2 linked regions of the Daphnia pulex genome follow. The protein of the gene in region 2 purifies or fractionates together with the protein of the main gene of each other region. This does not show direct contact. Links are inferred from orthologs where the notes say so. Each region holds a gene or a part of one and is shown on either strand. Other genes may lie near its edges.

Region 1 (4,024 bases), on a different chromosome or scaffold from region 2:
GTCCTGAATGTTTTACGTTTACATCTGGTCCTCCACGACGAGTCCCACCCAAGCCTCCACCCAAACGGCGAGGAAGCCAACCTGGAATGCAATAGTTTAGGTACTTAGAAACCATGGCGGCATGATTATAATATCTAACAAGAAGAAAAAAATTTTGTGCACTTATTTACACTGATTAATCAAAATAAAAAACCTATGGATTTTCAAAACAAATTTTAAAATTTGCCTTCGAAAAAAAGGGCAGCAAACTATAAACATAAAACTTATTTAATTAAAATAATTACCTTTGACAGTCCTTGCCCTTTCTACGTCTACAAGAACTCTGCGGCCGTCTATTTTCTTTCCGTCGGCGTGTTTGTACGCAGCTGGTATTTTAAAACAACAAACCAGTATTTCGGCGCCGTCGGCAAAACGAACAAATCGTAAATACGGGTAGTACAGCAGGCAGAGAAGACGAAAAATTCAGCGTGTATAACATGGAGAAGGAGAGTTCCAACAATTAGTATCACAAACCTAATATCACCTACCGAAGGATCTCCATTACCTACCCCTCCCAGCAATTTCGAAAAATATTTACCGTGAATTAACAAATAACGAAAAATGCAATGATTTCAAGTATGACCAATCATAACACTTGGAAAATGCATAAAAAACCAACGCCACGGCCGTTTACCAGATTACGGCTATGTTCACGTAACATCCAGATCTATTAATAAGCGATCAAATGTTGCCAATCACAGAAGCAGATCCATTCCCTCTTCAAGCTGTCCCCATCTTTACCTGTGAATCCTCTTAACGCGCAGCAGCACTCGAAGAATCTGATCGAATTGAAATGGCCCTAATTTTTAGTGGCGCTAGAAAGCCTAGTAACCGACTTACCAGGATACTTACTACCATCAAGGGGAAGGGAGGGTGAAAACGAAAAGATACTTTCTTTGAAGCTAATTTGAACCTGCAGTCGATTTCAAAGGGATTTTGGTTTAACTTTAACCAAACGAAACCTTACCAATTGACCATACAAACCTAGCATCAAGAGACAAAAAGCGACAAAGGCCACATGACCGTCCAAATAGTCGGAGGCCGCGACTGTGACCGGAAACGACAAAATGAAATATAGGAAAACTTTAAGGTACAAATCAATCACAGATTTTCCCCACCTCACCCCCACCCCTTTCATCATCATACAAATTGGTGGTGCGACGATTAATTGAACAGTGAAAGCTATCGCAGGCCTTACTAATTAGCCCACTACCCTCAGTTACCACACGACTTAGGTATAATAGAAAAGAAATACTTACAATGCATGTCTCGCTCATGTTCATACTCGATGAATGCATAACCGCGTGGCTTACTAGTCCTCTTGTCATGCACCAACACAATCTGTAACATTAAAAAGCGTGGTAAGCGTGTGATTAAATTTCACATGGTGCTTGTAAGTTACCTTCCGAACAACTCCGTACACTTCAAACTCCCTGCGCAATTTAGATTCCGAAGTATCAAAATTCTGAGAGAAAATGTTTCAAGAATTATCGTTTCATTCATGCGGATTACTAGTTATAACTTAGCACTCATTATTCATTAAGCTCGAAATAAAATAAAAGTGATGAGAAAAAAAAATTATAGTATGAGTATTGACACTTACAATGCGAGCAACGAACAGCGTTTTGAAGGGGTCCATGGTAGAAACACCATTACTGTGTGGATCCCCTATGAATGCCAGAGAAAAGGGAAATTGATAAAAGAAATTGTAGAAACACACCAAAAATTAGAACTTACACATTGCAATTTCCTGTTCAAGTTTATAGGCAACTTGTTCTGCCTTTTCGCGACGTTTTCTTTCGCGCCGTTCATCCCGTGTTTCTGCTCGCGTAGGAGGGGGTGTATCTTTAGGATCCTGTTAAGAATATAAAATGATATTAAAAATTTCGTTATGTTTGAAAGCTCAGTACTTAGTTCATCAGAATGCTTCTAGTATGCAATGTTTCGTTCCACATCTCTCATTTAAAACTTTGTGAAACAATGACTACTTTACACCCCTCAGACATATGCTAACATTAAATTGTCAACCTGATAAAAGGCTCAGCTGGAAACACTGTGCTTCCAGAAAATTAAGACACTTTCACAACATTTTCACAAAATATTTTGCATCTCACATGTCACACATGAAAACTTGGGATTCTCATCGACACATCTAGAGGAGAATGAATAAATGAACCAAAACTGTTCCATAAATTGGGATTGGGACCCGTGCATTAGTAAATTAAGACATACATTACTTCCCAAATCAATCAAATTAGATCAAATTGCAATACTTACCTTGACTACTATATCAATTTTTAATTTTTAATGGAATCAAATACTAACCTCAAACAGATTTGTATACTGCGCTATACCAATGTATGGCGTTCTTTTTTTTTCATGAGTCAATTTATCAGGTGGTGGTAAAAATGGAGGGGGATCGCGTGGCGCAAAAAGAGCCAAAAGATTTGGAGGCAAAAACTGCGTCATTTCACAAATATTTCAATGAGCATGGACCTTTCAAAAAGCTTCTCGGTCGAGCGTCTTAGCTGTCGGCCATTAGTCCATTACTGTCTATCTATTGCTCGGCAGGGCTGCCACTTTGGTCTTTGGTGGGATTTTCCCACTTTTGAAATTTTCAAGTTTTTAAAATTGAAAATACCCGTTTTAAAAAACGGGTATTGTGGGATGAGATGGGATTGAGATTTTAGGAAAAACAGCGGGATTTTGTAATTTCTAATTTATCTGACCAATTTCATAAATTTTTTTTGAGCCGTAAATAGGCTAGCAACAAAATATATATTTGGCAACTAGAAATAAAACTAAATTTAAAAAAGCAGACGAATCAATACCAGATCAGAATCAGACATATATAAAAGTAAATAGTCACTACAGTCAAAAACAGCGTTTTGGCCCCAACCAATTTGTATCAGTTTTTACTTTTTATATTGTTTTAAATATTATAATCGTAATACTAGACCCCCGGCCCTTTAGTTTGCTTGTTGCTTATTGCTTATTGGATTTTAATGGGTTTGGCGCTGATATTTTTCATTAAATTTCTTGAAAGTGGAGTCTAGTAAGTAGGTAGTAGGTAACTTATAACATTTAAATTAATGCTCTTTAAGGAAAAAAAACTATAAATACTACATAAAAATAGACATAATTAGGTTTCAAATGAGACTAAGGGGGAATTTCTACGTGCATTTTTGACAAGGTTTAATATATGGTAAACATATTTTATACGGTAAGATTTATTTCATTACTGCATCTCAAAAGATTCAAGTTGTACAGCATCTTTCAATTACATCCAAGTCCCAAATATTGGTAAATAAATAAATTAGTTCCTTTCTTTCTTACAAAGCCTTTTCGGCCTTTTCTTAAATACATTGCTGATGCGGTTAAGTTCGGTTAATGTTATTGTGGTTTTCAAAAATCAGCTTGGATTTCAACTTCTACTTGCAGACAAACCAAAACAAAGTAAAAAAAAACTGTTCGATATTATTTGGCCTCTTGATGGCGTAGAATTCAATTATTGAATTAATTGAAATTAATGGTTTCTTAGGATTAGGAATGTCTTTAATCTTGATGTATTTATCGTCTGAAAGTTGAGACGGTGTCTCTAGCTCTCTACTTTAAGACCATAACAAAATTTTACTTTAGTTAGCTAAATTTTTTGCGCCAAAAAACTCATACTGTTTCGTCCTTCATGCTTAACTCAGCTTAAGGATAGGCCTTTTTATCGTTAGCACATGCAAAAAAATAAACAAACAAAACGCGGCAAAGTCTGATACACACGACATGATTCTGAATCGAGTTTCCATCATCACGTGACCGCAAGCACTCCGCCGGTCCGCCCACAAAAATAAACCCAAAAATGGAACCATACAATCTGTGAACATGTTTCCATAGTTCTACTAAGGCAGATTGCCCGAGATACCTAGATGGGAAAACCTCCTAAACTGAATAATTTGGATATATTATCCACAATTCCGCTACACCAAAACGC
Region 2 (7,917 bases):
CAGTCTGAGTAACAGCAGCAGCTCGTTGCTGTCGCCATCGAAGAAGAAGAACAAGAACAAGAAGTTGACGCCAGCACAATGCGAAGAGACGGGAACCAAGAAGAATAAGAAGAAGAAGCGAGGCAGTTCGTGGCGCCGTGTTCTTCTCTTACACCGGGCAGTGCACAACATGTCCAGGAGTGACGATAAGACCACTAACGCCACCACACCTGCTACTACTACAACTCCTACTAATAACAGACGGCTCAAATCCGAAAGTCAATCGTGCTGTGCGCTTCAGTGAAATGAAGAAAACTTTAAAAAATAAATCGAGGAAAACATATAAAAATTGGGGAAAATGAAAAACAATTGAACAGTTGAGAAGAAAAAAAAATTTTTTTTTGTTTTTCAAAATTTTTTTTTTGCCATAACATTTTTTTTTTGTTGTTACTTTTTTTCTGTTTTTTTTAATTTAATTGTGATTCATTCATCAATTACGCAGTGAATTGTTTTTTTTTGTGTGTTATAAGAAAAAGTGTGTTGATGTTTATGCGCAAGTGAAGAGAACAAAACGTATCCGGCGGAATATGAAGTGTGACGCAAAGTGCAAATGGCAGTTTTGAGTTCCCTAATTCGCGGCGTTTTTCATTCATAAGCTGGAAGTTATCAAAGAAGAAAGAAAAATCGAATTTTTTTTTTTGTTAAATGGAAGGTTCTAAAAAAAATGGAATTATGCAAGAGAAAAGTAATATTTGGACGATTTGTGATACGCCGTTTCTTCATCAATTTTTAGTGCGGAATTGCGATGGATGTCAATAATTTTTTTCCATTTTATTTTTGGTTATTAATCCTCAAAGAGATATGTTATGTCTCCTCAATTCTTTTGTTGACCCCGTTTTTTGGCTAAAATTGGAGCAGACTGCAGCCATTTAAATGCATAACATTTGGAGAAATTTAATTTTTTCGAGGGGGGAAATTCAAATGAGACAAATCCGCCGCCATATCCACATTTTTTTTCCTTGATGCATTTCTCGATGGTTTTTTTTTCTTTTGAATAATTCTACACTGCGAATTAAAAATGTGAAAAATAATGGAAAAATATTCCAGTGTTGGAGAGAAACAAAACTAAAAGAAAACAAACAAAACATATTGAGCCCATCGACCCCCACAAACAAAATGACTGCCCTAATTTTTCGCTGAAATTGCTGCTGCCCTTAATTCGTGTATGTTTTTTTATATATTTCTTTTTCTTTCACTGCCTCTAATTCTATATATTTGGATTTGTTGGGAAATTTCTCTTCATTGTCTCTTTTTCTCTTCCCCCCCACGTCTGTGTTTGAACGGGAAAACTAAAATCTACCCAAATAACCTCATCAAATTATTGGATAGACTACAACAACACAATTCCCCCCTTAAGAAAAAAACGATAACATATTTTTTGTTATGTTTTTTTTTGGTTCTAGATTACTTAGAGCCCTGTGCCTTATGCAAAAGAAAAAGACACCGAGTTTCTGTGTGTGTGTGTGTGTGTGTAGGGTAATCGAAGCGACTACGAAATGAATTTAAAAAAAAGAGTGGATGGATTATTGCAGCTAACACGCGAAATTTTAAGAAAACAAAACAAAAATTTATAACTATCGAATAAAAAAAGGCACACACCTACACACACACACCCTACCATGCAAGACACGCATTCACACACGGTCATTAATCATAAACAACGAAATACGGTTATTATATTGCGCCCTTCGTGTTGTCGAATTTTTTCCTTTTCTCTCTATTTCTTTCATTGCTGTTGTCTACTATCCTCCATCCCCCAGTTGAGAAAGAAAAAAAGAATCCTACACGCAACATTACATCTCTCTCTCTCTTCCCCTTCTCTGGGGTGTTGTGTGTGTTATTGATATATAATGATTTGATTTATTATCTTAATGTGTGTCCGTGCTATACCGCTGAAACTTGTATCTTCTTCCCTCTTTTCTTTTATATATCGGTTGTCAAATGATACATTTCTCGATTGAATTACCCCACCACCACCACCACCACAGACACACCTAAAGATTTTTTTTTCTCTCTTCTTTCTTATTTGGTTGGTTTCTTCGTCATAAATGATTTGTGTTATGGCATTTATTTTTTCGTTTTTTTTTTTGTTTTTTCAATCATTCTACGATGATTACTATTTCTAACTATTCTATACTATATAACTATACTGTTTCAGTACTTTACGTGCACTATATACATGTCTACTTGCCTGTGTTTGATCGACGTTCTCCCTCGACCGCCATGTTTGACATTTTGAGAGACGAAAGTAAAGAAAGAAGGAATGCAAAATAAGGAAAGATTTTTGGGGGAAATTTGGTTTTCTAACTAGACGGGACAAATTCTTCCATGGAGATAATCAAAGACGGTCGGCTCTTCCGCTTGATCTTTTTTTATGATTGAGCAAAAAAAAAAGTTGTAATAATAAGAGATGAGGGAGAGATTTAATCACACACACACATACATCAACACACACACACACACTCCGGGCTGTCAAAAGCAATAAAAATACACACAAAATAAAAAAAAAACTAAAAAGAAAATAAATTCACTTGAGTTTTAAATTTCATTTTAAATATAATAATAAATATATTTGTACATGTGAGTGTGTGTGTGTGTTTGTGTCTTAACATCATCATTTATATACTGCTGCGTGTCGTTCACATGAGAAGAAGAAAAGAAAAAAAGACGTGAAAATTTCTTTTTCTTTATTTACCAGCCCTCACCACCACGCCCGCCCATCTATGCTATTGCTGCTGCTACCTCTTGTCCCCAGTGTCTGCCCTCCCACATAAAATCAATGCTCCCCTCTACCCTCCATCCAAAGTATATTTGGCCATATCCTTATATCCCCCCTTTTTTTCATCGTGTTTTTTTGTTTTTTTCCTTTTTGTCGGATCCGTTTTTACTTTGTCGAGTTTCTCCTCCGCCGTCGATCCCAGATGTCACATTCACACTTTCAATATTTAAAAAAGAAGAAAAAATGTTTCATGATATAATATTGAATTTTTGCGACAGTTTCATCTGCTGAAGGAGAACACAACGGAGGAGATTGGATGCAGTAAATAAAACAAAACAAAAAACAAAAAAATGAATAAAAAAGAAACAATATATATAAGAAATATATTGGCATCGCCTCTCCTTACACTTTTTCGTTTCCTTCCTGTGTTGGTTCGTTCAATCGATGGGAAAGTTCAAATTTTTCTAACGTATCTCTATATACTGTTGAATCAATGGAATTGTGAAGAAACACACGCAAATTCTAATTCTAAAATCTCTGTCCGACCTTCCCTTCAATTCTTTCTTCCTCCAGCTATTATACATGTAACTGCTATAATCTTCTTATTTTCACCCACCACTTTTGCCATCACTGAAAAATGGGGGAGAAAAAAAAAACGAATGCAACTCAGCTCCTCTTCCTATCCCTCCCGAATAAAAAACAAAAAAAGTGTTAAATGTAATACCATCAGCCACATGCATGTTCTTATTCACCCACGATCTTTACTATATTTACCATCAGTCATTTTTTATTTCTTACAAAATGGCGAGCAAAAGAAAAATAAAATAAAAATACAATGCGGGAAATGTGTTACCAGAAATGTTCGTTGTTCGCGTTTAAATCATTTCATCGGATCGGCTAAATCACTTTGATCAAAGTAACGACCGACTAGACATATGAAAAGATTGAGCTGGGCCAACAGCGGGTCGTCGACCGAGGTTAATTGAACTCGGAATGTGCTACACAAACGTGCCAGTGTTCTGATGAGGCTACACATTTCGGGTTTCAAAGGTTTCTCCAATTTGGCAAGTAGAGCGTAGAGCCACTGACCCCTTTGCTGAGTAAAATTCGTCTCCTCCAGCCATTGTACGTTGTACTCTAGTAGAGTCTCCACCATAAACTGCATCAACAGAAATAATAGTGTGAATGCTGAGAAGTAGGTGACTTTCATATACCTGGTTGAGGGATAAAATGATGGGGAGCATAGGTGGTGTTCCACAAGGCTTTTCATCCTCAGGGTTACCATAGCACAACACTGACCATTCCTTTTCTTTGTCTCCAGCAGGCTACAATTGGAAGGGATAATTAAGACCAAACTCATTTATCTGGAAGCCATTGCAACAGCAAAGATCTTACCAGGGTTGTATTCGGTTTCATTTGAATTCCTTGTTTTTTCAGCCTGGCCAAGTGTTTTGCCATGCGGCTCCTGAGGCAGGAAAACTGAGAGACTTGGAATTGTTGCCATTCTTTTGAAGGTAGGAAAACTTCTGGTGCAGGTGGGCAGCCAGAGTCCTGAATTTACACAGAAATGACAGACTAGATCAATAAATTTGAATAAAATGAAACTTACCGTAGTGTATTTGACAGTTTGGGCTTTGAGCTTCTTTCCTTTCATATCGGCAACTACAACCGCTTCGCATTTTCGCGATTCGACTCTATCCAAATAAACCGGCAGCATGAATTTATAGTGATACAATTTATTAACACACAAGTTTTCATGACTTACATAACTCTTCTCAAGTATTCTTGGCCTGTACTGGGCGCAGACTCAAAATCGATATCCTCGTCTGTTTCCTCGACGTAAAGCGCTTTATGGAGGAACTCATCCATGCCTGGAATTTCACAAATGATTTCAGTTGTTTGTTTTGAAGTTTAAGTTGTCGTCTGCGGTTCTGCGCCACTATTTGCTCAGACGCAAGCGACATCTACATCACTTTAATTTGTCAGCTCTATTTACTTAAAAATTTAAATTATTGCACTTACCTGTCATCTCACGATTCACGGTTAAAAAACCACCAGCAATTGAAAAATATAATTCAAATTTGAAAGAATTCAAGATTAATTAATTTCATGATTGCGTTATTCATAATTGGCAATGTTGCTTTTAAGTCAAAACATTGAAACACGAGAATTTGTTTAAGGTTTTTAACAGATGTTTTCTCACGCATATATGTACCCCTCTTCTTTGCATAGGGCATCTTGACTGTTAACGTGGAGCAGTCACAAAGATAACCTCCCCTTGCTCCATAGCTCCATAGTCTGCCCATGTTATTTTATTTTGTCAAGCCTTATTATATATTGTAAGAATATGTTGTTTAAAGCTTGTTTTTTGTCCCTCTTGGTTTACTTTTGCTCTGCTACAAAAGCTGATCCTGCCAATTCGTACGATATTCTTTACAGCCAGGCAGTAGAAGCATATCTAAATGAGCAATGGGATGAGTGCGTCACGCGTATGAACGAAGCCATTGAAGATTATCATTTTTACAAAGATGCTGTGGTGGGCTGTCGATTGGAATGTCTCAAGGAATCTTTTGACAAACCGTTGGTGTCTCCACAGTTGGAAGATATGAAATTATGGGAAAAGATGATAAAGAAGACACTTTGCTTACTGAAATGCAAGAAAGATATTTTGAAGAACCGTGCAGAAATTGTTGACCGTAAAGTTGCAGGTTAGACAGTCTTATCTTCATCAAATATGTTTTCTGTTTTTAAAAATTTTTACATTTTAAACAGATGATTTTGACACTTTGAAACCTTATGACTATCTTCAGCTTTGCTACTTCAAGGTTAGTATCCTACATCACATTTTCTTTATTATTTACTTAAACTTTTGTGTTTGGATTATTTCAGACCAACGATAATATCAAGGCAGCTTCCTGTGCCTACACTTTCTTAACTATGAATTTAAACCATACTGTGATGAAAGAAAATCTTAGATTTTTCATCAATGAATTGAAAGTGGATCCCAACTATGTCATCAACCTTGAAGCTAAACCCTATGTTGAATTCTACATTCGTGGCAGTGAATCCTACAAAAAGAAGGACTATGACAGAACTACAACCAACATGGAGCTTTCCTTGGTAGAATACTTGCAAGCAGAAGAAGAATGCAGAGCTCATTGTGAGGGTCCCTTTGATCAAGGCTGGTTTCCTGATTTCATTTCCAGCATCTCAAGTATGTTTATACAACATCAAAGCAGGTTTCAGTGGTACCTATAAATATGGAGATTGATTATTTGTTTAGATCACTACACTTTCACATTGCGCTGTAAGCGAAAGTGTGCTAACAAACTGGGAAACTTGAATGGCGAGAAACATGACGATCTCCTTCCCAGTCACTACCATTACTTGCAGTTTGCCTATTTCAAAAGTAAGACGTTTCTCTTAATCAATCACAAATAAGAAATCAAAACATTCGTTTTCTTGCAGTGGGCAACATCGAAAAGGCTTGCCAGGCCGCTGCCTCCTATCTCCTATTTTTCCCTAATGACGAGACTATGAATGAAAACAAGATCTATTACATGACGCTGGGAAACGTGCACGAAGGCATGTTCGTTCCAAGAACCGAAGCGGTCAACTACTACGAGCGTGATCAAGGAGAGAAAGCCCTACTTCAGTTTATAGAGGACAATTTCCAGTTCGACGAGGGCGAAATTTTAGAAGCCACTGGTCCGGCAGTTATCCCTATCGGTACTGACTTGGCAGTCATTTCCACCGACAACATCGGCGACAATGAAATCCCCCATAGCACATGACTTTTCAGGTTTTTCATGACAGCTTCTTGTTAATTGTCTCCTAACATTTTATCTCAACGGCAATCTCTTTAATTAATTTTAGGTGTATTCACCTGTTAGCTACGTTTTCTCTTTTTTTATATGAAATCCAGTTGACCAATCACTTCCATTCATGTGGTGCCTTAAATTTGTTCAATTTTAAAATTCTTTCAGTGCCAAAGAATTCGTTCTTTAAATCTGCCTTATAATATGAATCAACATTTGATTGTGTTTGGAGTCTCTACTACGAATACAGCCACGGATATAATAAGTATACAACATCATCAAAAACAAATTTTATTTTAGAAAACGAATTTTCTTGTTGTATTTAAAAAGGCCAGAGTTAATCATTCAGGTATAATATTAAAGGTATAATATCATGCCATTCGCAGGAAATAAGCAGTTTTGAGACACGTTAAATTAGGTACAAAGCCGAATAAAAAAAACACAAGGAGTAAAAAAAACAACATCTGTCTTACGATTAGTTTCCGTTGTTTTTGTCCTAAAACAAAAGGCGTGTTGCCCCACCCTTCCCGGTCTGCCAAAAGGTAAAGAAAAATTGGACAAGTAATAAAGCGATTCTTTTTTTTTACAGCGTGAGAGATGAAAAACATCGTCTAGGCGTTTGCTGAGTTTGCTTTATTGTTTCACTTTTCATCTTCGTAAATTTTTTTTTTTTTATTCTGTTCTAGAGAACTCCGGATGTGTGGGGACAGAGAAAGAAGAAGGAAGATTTTTTTTTGTGTGTGTGTTTTTCTTTTCTAAAATTTGCAATAACTTTTGTTTAACCCCTGAAGGAAGCACGGCATTCAACCAGAGGATCACCGTCCTGGCCGACGGGACATGAGCATACGGCTCCGTGGTTTCGTGCGTCGCATCGTGCTCCGATTCCGCAAACGGAAGATCTGGATGAAGAAGTGCTGGTGCATGGATCAACGCATTGGTAACCGTAACAAGCTTGATTGCCAGAACAATCCTGGGCACATTTTAAAAATTAGTCCTAACATTCTCTTAAAATATTTTAGCGGATTTCCTTACGGCATGGTCGATACATTGGCCCTTTCGGCAACCGACGAGGGGATCTCCCAGATATCCGGTGCGGCAGAAGCAAACTGGCCTGTCGTTTCCTTGACGGTCCGTGCCTGGTTTGCAGTCGGCATCGGTGCCGCAAGGATTCGGGTTACAAAGATCGCCTAGAAATATCGGGTGGGTATTTTTTAGCAAAAGATCCTTGGGAGATTTGATTACGTTGTTCTTACTCTTGTCGAAGGGTCGGCAGCGGTCGAATGGATGTCCAGTGTGGCCCTTGGGGCAAGAGCAAATGGCCTTGTGGCTCTCGACACGGCA

What was found.
Region 1: the proteins of gem-associated protein 2-like (region 2) and U1 small nuclear ribonucleoprotein 70 kDa-like purify together in Homo sapiens (affinity purification with mass spectrometry; 5 studies listed by BioGRID and IntAct, counting the BioPlex papers as one, with this or other methods). This does not show direct contact. The link is inferred for Daphnia pulex from reciprocal best matches to the Homo sapiens genes GEMIN2 and SNRNP70.

Annotation. Positions count from the first base shown.
Region 1 is NC_060026.1:6,141,064-6,145,087, forward strand, and holds the start of U1 small nuclear ribonucleoprotein 70 kDa-like, read right to left. Parts: upstream 2,801-4,024; 5' UTR 2,509-2,800; coding exon 2,365-2,508; intron 1,895-2,364; coding exon 1,777-1,894; intron 1,708-1,776; coding exon 1,643-1,707; intron 1,505-1,642; coding exon 1,442-1,504; intron 1,381-1,441; coding exon 1,299-1,380; intron 366-1,298; coding exon 285-365; intron 82-284; coding exon 1-81. UniProt on the Homo sapiens protein: Component of the spliceosomal U1 snRNP, which is essential for recognition of the pre-mRNA 5' splice-site and the subsequent assembly of the spliceosome. SNRNP70 binds to the loop I region of U1-snRNA.
Region 2 is NC_060025.1:2,085,223-2,093,139, reverse strand, and holds gem-associated protein 2-like, read right to left. Parts: upstream 4,704-7,917; 5' UTR 4,628-4,703; coding exon 4,524-4,627; intron 4,453-4,523; coding exon 4,368-4,452; intron 4,310-4,367; coding exon 4,154-4,309; intron 4,084-4,153; coding exon 3,973-4,083; intron 3,918-3,972; coding exon 3,639-3,917; 3' UTR 3,500-3,638; downstream 1-3,499. Other genes in the region: uncharacterized protein LOC124201851, read left to right, coding at 1-283; endoplasmic reticulum protein SC65-like, read left to right, coding at 5,106-5,466, 5,531-5,583, 5,648-5,972, 6,042-6,167, 6,227-6,552; neurogenic locus notch homolog protein 3-like, read right to left, coding at 7,355-7,546, 7,609-7,763, 7,830-7,917. UniProt on the Homo sapiens protein: The SMN complex catalyzes the assembly of small nuclear ribonucleoproteins (snRNPs), the building blocks of the spliceosome, and thereby plays an important role in the splicing of cellular pre-mRNAs.